Caenorhabditis elegans: one gene and its partner. The protein of the gene in region 1 purifies or fractionates together with the protein of each later gene. This does not show direct contact. Each region holds a gene or a part of one and is shown on either strand. Other genes may lie near its edges.

Region 1 (4,275 bases):
TTTGCCGCACACGTCAAAAATTTGACAGTACAATTTTGACTAAAACTATTAATTTTTTAGCCAAAAATTTAGTAAAATGACACAAAATTGAGCTATTTTGATGCTTAAACAGACATACTACGCGGAACTTATTCAGAAACCAGATGTGTGTTAAGAATTCAGTAGTTTTGGTGCTCCAAAAAACATTAAAAATATCAAATTTTTCCGAGTTTGTTAAGCACGGCAAATTTGCCGAATTTGCCGTGCTCGGCAAATATTGAAAAAAAGAGATTTGCCGAATTTGCCGAGCTCGGCAAATTTTGAAAAACCAGCAATTGCCGATTTGCCGAGCTCGGCAATTTTTTCCATTTGCCGCACACCCCTGTTCTGAAACCACTCAAATATCGGGTTCAAATTTTTTGAACTTGGTTCAGGACATGAATGGACTTTCAGTAAATACAATTTGTTTCCAGATTCCAGCTGATATTTGGGATTTTCTTCCGTCTCTTTCATCCTTGGATATTTCAAATAATCCAATTGATTGTGATTGTGCAACTATTCGATTGCTTAGCGGGGATGATGTCGTATTTCTAAATCAGGTATTTTCCATTTTTGTTTCCGAAATTCCAATATTATATGCTAAAAAAAACAATTTTCAGGCTGATACAAAATGTGCATCTCCACCAGAATTGGAAGGCAAACGCATTTTTGAACTATCGAGAGACTATTGCAAAACTACAAGGAATCCACGTGGGAAAGCATCATTCTTCCAGTTTCTCGTTCTTTTTGTGATTGCTGTTGGAAGCGAGTTTTTATTTTAAAGGAATTTTAAGATGTCTTAAAATTTCAAAATACAAAAAACCAAATTGTGTACCTAAACAATCCAAACCTACAAACCTACAAAATCCTTTAAATTTCTCTAAGAATTCTGATTTTTCGAAAATTTGGAAATTTGCCAAAAAAGCTTTTCGGAGGAAGTGCTGAAGTTTCCTTCCGGAAATTGTACAAAATGGTTTTTTTTGTTAAAATTTGGTGATAGAACATAGAAAAATTATTTTATCTGAAAATAGCTTTTATTGGAAGAGTTGAAAAAAATGCTAAATTGCCTGAAAGTAGGAAAATGAAAGAAAATATGTCGATATTTTGTCGAATTTATCTCGGCGATTGACAACCTTCAGACAATTTTGAGAACTTTTACAAATGCTCCAACTAAAATAAAAGTTATTTTTTGATAAAACAAATATTACTGTTAAATCATGAATTTTCAGTTCTATGGCTCTACAAGAAGTACCGTGAACGCACAAGACATATGAGTTCAGTTCCAGTTGGATACACGAACTTACAGCATGAACAAGCTGTTGAACCGGAATTTGTGTAGGGAATTCCAAAACAAATTCATTTATCTTTTTATTTTTGGTTTTTTTTTAATTTTCAGCCAGCCATAATTCTTTCAAATATTTCTGATAATATTTGAAATTTCATAATTTTAAAATCTGTTCATTTTATACGGGATACTTGCTTCTTTTTTTGTGAATAAAATGATCTTCTTCTAGATATTCTTGTTGACTCATAGATGAGTCATGTGTATAGAGGGATCTGATTGAAAGCCAATCGCCGGCATTACCAATTTCCAAATGGGCAAAGTAGTACACACTTGGCATTTGGCGACGAATTCTTGCCCAAGTTTGGGCATTGGGGGAAATCTTGGGCAAGGAGATTTTTGGCCACGCCAACATTTAGCCCTAGGTTTATCGAACTCTTGCTATACCAATTGGTCTAGTTTCGTACTGAGAACTGTTCCAAAACTGTTATTATTCTAGATATGGTATAACTTTGTGTAATAAACGCCTAATTGGTAAAGTGAGATGCACATTTTGGTATCGTTTCAGAGGACTAACAATTCGAATTCTTGATCGGTTTTTTAATTTTTAGATTCCACGGTGAACATTTCCTGGAGATCACCGGAGAGAATAAAAAAAATAAAAAAGGGACAGCTGTTTTTTCAACGATTATTATTACTGTGAATTGAAGATTTTGAAATTCGAGAGCAAAATTGCAGATAACATATGTAATTTCAACTTTATCAAGGTATTAAAATTCGAAGTTCAGTTGAAATGTACATGAGACTTCTATATTCAAATAGAAAAAAATTTTTTTTTTCCAGAAACTCAATTCAGAAAGTCAAAAACTGCAGGTGTCAATGATATATGGTGATTCGAATGCCAAATGTCACATTGAAAAATCTAATTGAACTTTGAGGTGTTGCATTTATATGAGTTCATGAGTAATTTTAACGAGTGTTGCCTGGATTTGTTGCTAGACTATTCACCTATAAGTTTCTGAAAAGAAAATTGAATTTCATGCAGAACTGAGCAAATTATATGCGATTTAGTCAAGGCCCCCCAATTTTGGCATCATTTGCCATTCGGAGGTGAACAAGGGGCGGGATATGTGTCCCGACAGGGTGGTAGAGGATGAGTATAAAAGGGTGGCGCTCGCGCATCATTCACTATCACTTTTCAAGTGTTTGTTCATCGTTTAACAATGTCCGACGTCGCCGTTGCCGAGACTCCAGCAGTCAAGACCCCAACCAAAGCTTCAAAAGCCACGAAGGCCAAGGCTACCAAGATTCCGAAGGTGAAGGTCGTTGCCGCCCATCCGCCATTCATCAACATGATCACCGAAGCCGTCAGCAACCTCAAGGACCGCAAGGGATCATCCAGGGTCGCCATTTTCAAGTTCATCACTGCCAAATACACGCTTGGAGATCAAGTTAACAAGGTAAATATGCATTTTATTTTAAAGAGAGTGGTTTTGAATCGATTTTTCCAAAAAATATATAAACCTGATTTTTGAACAATTCTTCCAAAACGTTGACAATATTAATAGATTTTCCCCTGAAAATTAAACCAACCTTCACTAAATGCATCTTAATTCCAGACCAACGCTCACCTTCGCTCTGCACTTAAAAAAGGAGTCGTCAGCAAGGTCCTCGTCCAGACTAACGGAATCGGAGCCAACGGACGATTCCGTCTTGCCGTTGCCGAGAAGCCACCAGCAGTGAAGAAGGCTGCCACTGGAGAGCAAAAGGTTATGAAGACCGTCGCCAAGAAGGCTGTCAGCGGAGACAAGGCTAAGAAAACTGTCGCCAAAAAGACCGGAGACAAGGTGAAGAAGGTCAAGTCACCGAAGAGGATCGCTAAGCCAGCTGTCAAGAAGGTCACTAAGAAAGCCGCCGCTCCAACGAAGTCTGCTGCCAATGAAACCGCTCCAAAGAAGGCTGCTGCCACTGAAGCCGCTCCAAAGAAGGCTGCTGTCACGAAAGCTGCTACAAAGAAGACTCCTGCCAGGAAGGCCGTTGGTACTGCCCCAAAAGCCTAATAACACTGTGTGAAATTCAAATTTAATTCGATCTCACCATTGTAATATACCTCCTCCTTGAAGGTGTCCCGGGTACCGGTTTTTTCTTCCCATTTAATCATAATTTGTTCCATTTTAACAAATATACCTTCCAATAAACCATTAATAGATTCTATTGTTCTCTTTTTTTTTTCAGAAAATAGATTTCCAAGACAGTGCTCTCAGCGAGAATAAATTGAAATCTTCATTTAGCAACATTTTGTATTTCGTCACTTTTAGTGAACATTAAAAAGTTAACATCTGTATTTAGTGATCAAAAGGTGCTATTAATTAATTATAATTTGGGATCACCATATGCAGTAACGGATTATTTGCAATTTTCTCAAGTTGCTTCACGAATATCTCTTTCTCACTTGACTGGTGTTTCGGTGGGATATATTTTGTGTGTGTGTGTGTGGAAGTGGTGTCTATGTACACGTTATCAACCACAACATTTGCTATTTTCACTCGTTGTCATACTGGCGGTCTTTCTCTCTCAATAATATCTTTTCGAAACTTTCTTCGTGTGATATCTGACCGACAGGAGGAGCACGCCTGCTCAATTCACCAACTTATTTAATGGGAAAGGACTCTTTCACACAAATAAAATGACATGGAGATGGGATGTAGAACAATTGAAGAAACCGATTAATGGTTCATTACATCGGTCATGTCAAAGCAAGTTTGTGCCTGATTCAACAGTGAATTTCAAATGAGCTCTCGAAGACTCTTGAACTGTGATCTTCCTACAGTGAAAATGACGCGGTCAGTTTTGCCAAATTTTAATTAACTTTCATTTCTTTATAGCCAAGGGGAAGCATTTGGTAATTGGTAGTTTTGAAAAACTCGGATAATTATACATATGGAAATGGAAACATTAATTGGCAAGACTGGCAT
Region 2 (5,456 bases), on another chromosome or scaffold:
AATAACTTTTTCCCTGTGATATCCCAGCTCCTACAGCAGCTCCAGAATGGATCATAGGACCTTCTTTTCCAGCACAAAGACCACCGCCAACCGAACATGCAACTCCAACTGCTTTTGAAACGAGCGTTTTGAGACGAACAACCTGGAAAAAACGAAAGTTTCAGAAATTTTTGAGCTGGAAATGACACCTCAGGAATCGCAATTCCGTTAAGATAACACTTTATTTGAGGAATTCCAGAACCTCCAGCAATCGGAGCTACATAAATCACAAGGATTGCAGCTATAGTTACGAGAACACAATTATATCCTATCCAAGCTATCATTACGGTCCACATACACCCTGCAGTCGTTCCACGTTGCTCTTCGCCACACTTTGAGAGCACTGAATGTTTCGTTTTCAATAGATTAGTTAGATAAGTATAACTGACAATATTTGAGAATCCAGTTAAATTTGATATCTTTACTGTAGTGTACCATAATATCAATAAATGCAGCGACGAGTCCAGTGAAAACTCCAATCAAAAAGCATACAAACCAACGATTTCGAGAAATTCGCCAAAGAGTTAACTGAAAAGTGACATTGTTACTGTATCTATGAAATCTCAAAACCTGGTGAGATGGTTTCTTTTCAGCATCTCTATAGAGTCGATTCTCAGATATTTCATAGTTCAGACTTTCGTATCTAGCAGACAATGCTTCATGGCTATCCGTTCGACCAACATCATCCAATTGCCTTGAGAATAACAGCTCTTCCTCCTGAAATAACTTGATTTTCAGAAAAAATTGCTGGTTTTTGCCCGCACTAGTCGTCTTCTTTGCCGAGCAACGTGTTCTAGATTCGAGTTTGACATGACTCGTTCTAGCCCCGACACAGGATCTTCATTTGGATCCAGACTGAAAAATATTATTTCCGAGAAGTCAAGTGATATTTAGTCTCTTACCTATTAGAACTTGTTCGCACCCTGTTACGGGATGTCATCTGAAATGTTGAAATAAATCCAACTGAACTTATTGTAGACATAAGAGAAGTAACTAATTTCGATAGACACGCAACATGTTTATTGTTGGATGTGAATAGAATGAGTATGGCGGAGTATTTTATTAAACATGGTGTTTATGGAAGAAGGAATTATAAATTTATAAAATGAAGCAAGGTGTGTAGACAACTACGCAGCTTCTGAGTATCCTTGATTGTGTACGAGTTGATGAAATTAGAAGGCACGGAATCCACGACCACGAGAGTTGACAACCTGATCAGTGACGTATTGGACTGGACGATATTGAACTGGCTGAACCTGAAAAACCAATATATTGGTCACCACAGATTCCTAAGATTTATGTTTCATAATATTAATCCAATTGGTGGCTAGTATTGTAAAACTCAATCATAATCTTTAATTCAATTCTAGCAAATAAAAGTTTGAATACTCACTTGACGAACAACATTGTTTCTCTGAACAGGTGGTCTTGCATTCACATATCTGACGCTTCTCACAACTTGCTGTTGTTGTGGCTGCTGCTGTCTCTGGAAGCGCGGGGGTTGTTGCTGGAAACGAGGTTGCTGTTGCTGGAAGCGTTGTGGCTGGCGTTGGAAACGTTGCTGAGCCACTGGAGTCTGGATTACTCTTTGCACGACCTGCTCATACTGAAAACGAACAATATAATTCTGACACTGGATACTGAATAATAATGAATTTTTACCTGTGGTCTTTGAACTTGAGCGCGTCTTGGAACTTGTTGAACGACTTGACGACGAATGACTGTTGGACGATTATTATTGTTGTTGTTTGTTGGACGGAATCTTCTCGATTGCTGTGATTGAATAATCACATTGCGTCTCTGCTGTGGACGGTTCTGACGAACTTGTTGTTGCGGTGCTCTACGAATCACTTGAGATTGCACAGGAGCAGTGATGATTTGGCGAACAACTTTGACTGGAGCTTGACGAACATGCTGTACGATAGTACGAACAGGAGCCGTTATTGGTCTCTGTTGGATGATTGTTCTCACAGGTTGAATCACTTGGGCAGCAGTGACATTTCGTTTCAATGCAAAATTTCGTCTGGCGGCAAGAGTTGAAGCAGCAACACCCTGAAATCATTTACCTTACCTCCGTGAAAGATTGGAAGAACTCTCGACACGCTGAAGAAGCTGAGGAGAAGTTGCTGTCTGTCTCTCCGGAAGGAACTTCACACAAATTGAGACCATCTGTTCTGATTTTTTGGCAGAAGCCTGGCTTTCTATCAGGTTTTCAATAGTGGATGATCGTATTTCCAACTATTCATCGCGGTTTCAAAAAACACGAAGAACGTCTAGGTTCTATCGCGACACGAGAGGAATAAATCAAACTCTCGACCTGATTTTTAGCCTTTTACTACAACGCTTAATGCGTGTGGTATCCAGATTTCACTTCAAGAATCCATTTTTCAAAGCTCGATATTCAACTATAGAACAAAATCTGGTAAAAACGTACTCCACGCTTACGAACGACTGGAACAGTCGTGATATTGGTTCTTTTGCGAAGGGCATTCTGTAATGTGATGGTTTATTAGAATGAATTATATAAACAAGATTTACCTTGACGAGCTTATTAACCAGCTTCTTGGTGGCAACAGCGCTCAATCCTGCAGCCGCAGCAGGTTTTCCACGGGCACCGAAAACGCGTTTTTGACCTCCAGCTGCACGACGAGCAGCAATTGCTTTCGATTTCTTCAAAACCTTGTTCGCCAAAACAACTTGAGCACTCTTTCTTGGTGGGACTCTGCGGTTGTTTCTTCCGGCATTTCCTGGGCGAGTCTATAAAAATTATTTATTCTTAAAAGTTGCTTATTTTATTTTAAAACTCACGGGTTTGTTTCCAGCTTTGTTGCTAGTAGATGCTCCTGCTGGTGCAGATACTCGCTCGGACTTCACTTTTTTCTGGCCATGCTTGATGATTTCATCCAGAGACATGTTGATTTTTTCAGCCATTTCGATGAACGATATGAAGAATGCGGATAAAACTGAAAATAAACTGTTTTTAGAAAGAAAAGAACAGACAATGAAAAATATAAGACGATATGAGTGTAACAAGATGGTGAATAGAATGAACGAAAATGTGAGAGAGAGAGTGAGGGGGAAAGAGAGTGAGAGAAGAAGAGCAGATGGGAAAGTCGCGTGGCAGAGTACGAACGGCAATTGCGGTTGCGGAGCGGTTATCGATTGATGACTCACAGCGTAGAAGAGCAATTATAACAAAACCAAATTATTCAGTGTTTGGCCTATACGTTGAAAAAAACAAATTCCCGTTTTAAATGCTGTTTCTTTTTTGAAAATAATAAAACTGATGATCGGTGAGCAAACAGATATTACTGCATAGCAGCAGAACCGACCGGTCTGAGTGTGCACTAGACAGCTGTTAATGTTTGCACTGATGTAAAAAAAATTAAAAAAAAAATCGATTTCGGTGGGCAAGGTGGAACATTCAAGTGGGTTTCATAGTGAGCAACGAGAGAATACATAGTTCGTATTGGGGAATTTCATAAATTTAAGGAAAAAACGGATTTTAATTCAATAAATGTCTGAAAAACAGTATTTATAAATATATTTATTCAGCAAAGAAAATCGTTTTTAAAATATCGGTACTTGTTTTTAAATCACGAGACTTCTTGGACGCAAACACCAGAAACGACGGCACATTGCAGACAGTATGCTTGAAGATTTCCTCTACAGTATCCGAGTACTGTAGAGTATATCTTGGTGTCAATTCGCCCATAAAACTGCCAACACACAATACCAAAAGAGGCTAATGACAGAAATTATGAAAACAATGAAAACGTTTGTGAATAAGGATGTGCACTTCTCGACGATCTGTGCTTTTCTGGCAATTTCAGAGTATTTCTCCCGAGAGAAGGCTGCCAATGTGAACGATGATGGGAAAATGAAGCATAACAATAGTTTTATGTGTGCACGTATTTCTCGAATCCATCCCAGGCTGCCATGGACGGAACTCGTGAGCTGTAACAAAAATTATCAAGTAACATGAAATCTCGCTATAGTAAAAGTATTATGTTTCAGAACTGTGTATTTATGTTTTCGTAGAATTTTGACACTTATCAATATAGAATCAAGAATCTTACTTACAAGATGAGCACCCGAAGAAATATAAAATGTAGAAATCTAACCGTTAAATTGACATCCCATTCCATTTGATTAATGATATTCGTCTCATTTGTTCTAACTTTTGAATACTCTTTGATAACATCTTCCAATTCATCTTCCTCATATTGATCCATAATTTCCTGCAACACAAGGCAATCCTCAAATCCACAATTGACACCTTGACCATTGAATGGAACCATTGCATGTGCTGCATCGCCCATCAATACCAATTTGTCGAAGAAGACGTGCTGTGAGCATTGAACACTTATAATTGCCTGCGGTTTGTTTCTGGCAATTGTGTTTCTGATGTGATCTCTAGAATAATATTCGTTCGAAAACAACAAGGAAAAATGAAGCCACTCACTCTCCAAGAATCTTGAAGATTTCATAAAAATTGTTCTTAAAAAACAAAACAGATTCTACGGGACCAACCAAATTAGACTCGAACTCTGAGAACGTGGCGAACATCGAAACTGAAAATTTTGACTTTAGATAGATATAATTCCAATATAAGTCTTACCAGTCAATGACTGATCTTTATTTACAATGGCAACAAGGATAATACCTCTTCTTCTCCAGGAATAATGTGTTCCCAATTTTAGATCACATTGTTGTGTAGAATTTACACTCAGATCAATATAACCGAATTCCGAATACTTTTGACTGAAATTGAAACCTGGAGCCTTGAGAAGGCTTCTTCTAATTGAAGAGTGTGCTCCATCACAAGCCAGAAACAGATCACCATCTACAGTACTCAAATTATCCGAATTCTGTACAATCAGAGATTCACTTTTCAAGTCAAATTTGGTTGCTTTACAATTGAAATGAAATCTGTAATTGTAAAATCTGTTTGCTTAATTAATTGTGATGTTGAACTCACTTAACATTATTATATTTTTCCGCTTCGTTGATCAATATTTGGCTCAGTTCTTGACGATTTATTGTGAGAATGAACTAAAATAGTTTAAATTAATTGTTTTCGATAAAAAATTCTCTATTAGCTCATTGACACTGTGCATTACATTTTGACACCTCATATTTCGGTTAATTTTCAGATATTACAAAATAAAAACGACGAAAATTCATAAATATAAGTTAAGCAATGATGTGTACTCTTGAACTTCTACTTACATCGTCATCATTGAGAACAGGTAGTCTCTTCAGTTTTCCTTTTGTGTCCCCAAAATGAGCAATTTGATCTCGAATTGGCACACCAATATGAATAACTTTTTCCTTCAGACCAATTCTCTTCATTGTACTCATTGCACGAACGCCTAATGCCAAATTAATACTTTTTCCATTTTCCATATGGTTTC

What was found. Proteins that work in one complex are often made in the same cells at the same time.
Region 2: the proteins of hil-5 (region 1) and pqn-53 fractionate together in Caenorhabditis elegans (co-fractionation; one large-scale study listed by BioGRID). This does not show direct contact.

What each region holds. Positions count from the first base shown.
Region 1 is NC_003279.8:5,772,098-5,776,372, forward strand, and holds hil-5 (Histone H1.5), read left to right. Parts: upstream 1-2,487; 5' UTR 2,488-2,523; coding exon 2,524-2,760; intron 2,761-2,919; coding exon 2,920-3,360; 3' UTR 3,361-3,513; downstream 3,514-4,275. Other genes in the region: lron-8 (LRRCT domain-containing protein), read left to right, coding at 453-578, 639-783, 1,248-1,357. UniProt on the Caenorhabditis elegans protein: Histones H1 are necessary for the condensation of nucleosome chains into higher-order structures.
Region 2 is NC_003283.11:12,062,390-12,067,845, forward strand, and holds pqn-53 (Prion-like-(Q/N-rich)-domain-bearing protein), read right to left. Parts: upstream 3,003-5,456; 5' UTR 2,971-3,002; coding exon 2,848-2,970; intron 2,797-2,847; coding exon 2,578-2,796; intron 2,531-2,577; coding exon 2,474-2,530; exon of another isoform or gene 2,092-2,473; coding exon 1,702-2,091; intron 1,646-1,701; coding exon 1,433-1,645; intron 1,296-1,432; coding exon 1,212-1,295; 3' UTR 1,043-1,211; downstream 1-1,042. Other genes in the region: clh-6 (Chloride channel protein), read right to left, coding at 1-142, 189-382, 429-567, 610-756, 804-894, 942-979; kmo-2 (FAD-binding domain-containing protein), read right to left, coding at 3,742-3,996, 4,164-4,455, 4,505-4,613, 4,661-4,971, 5,021-5,094, 5,272-5,456.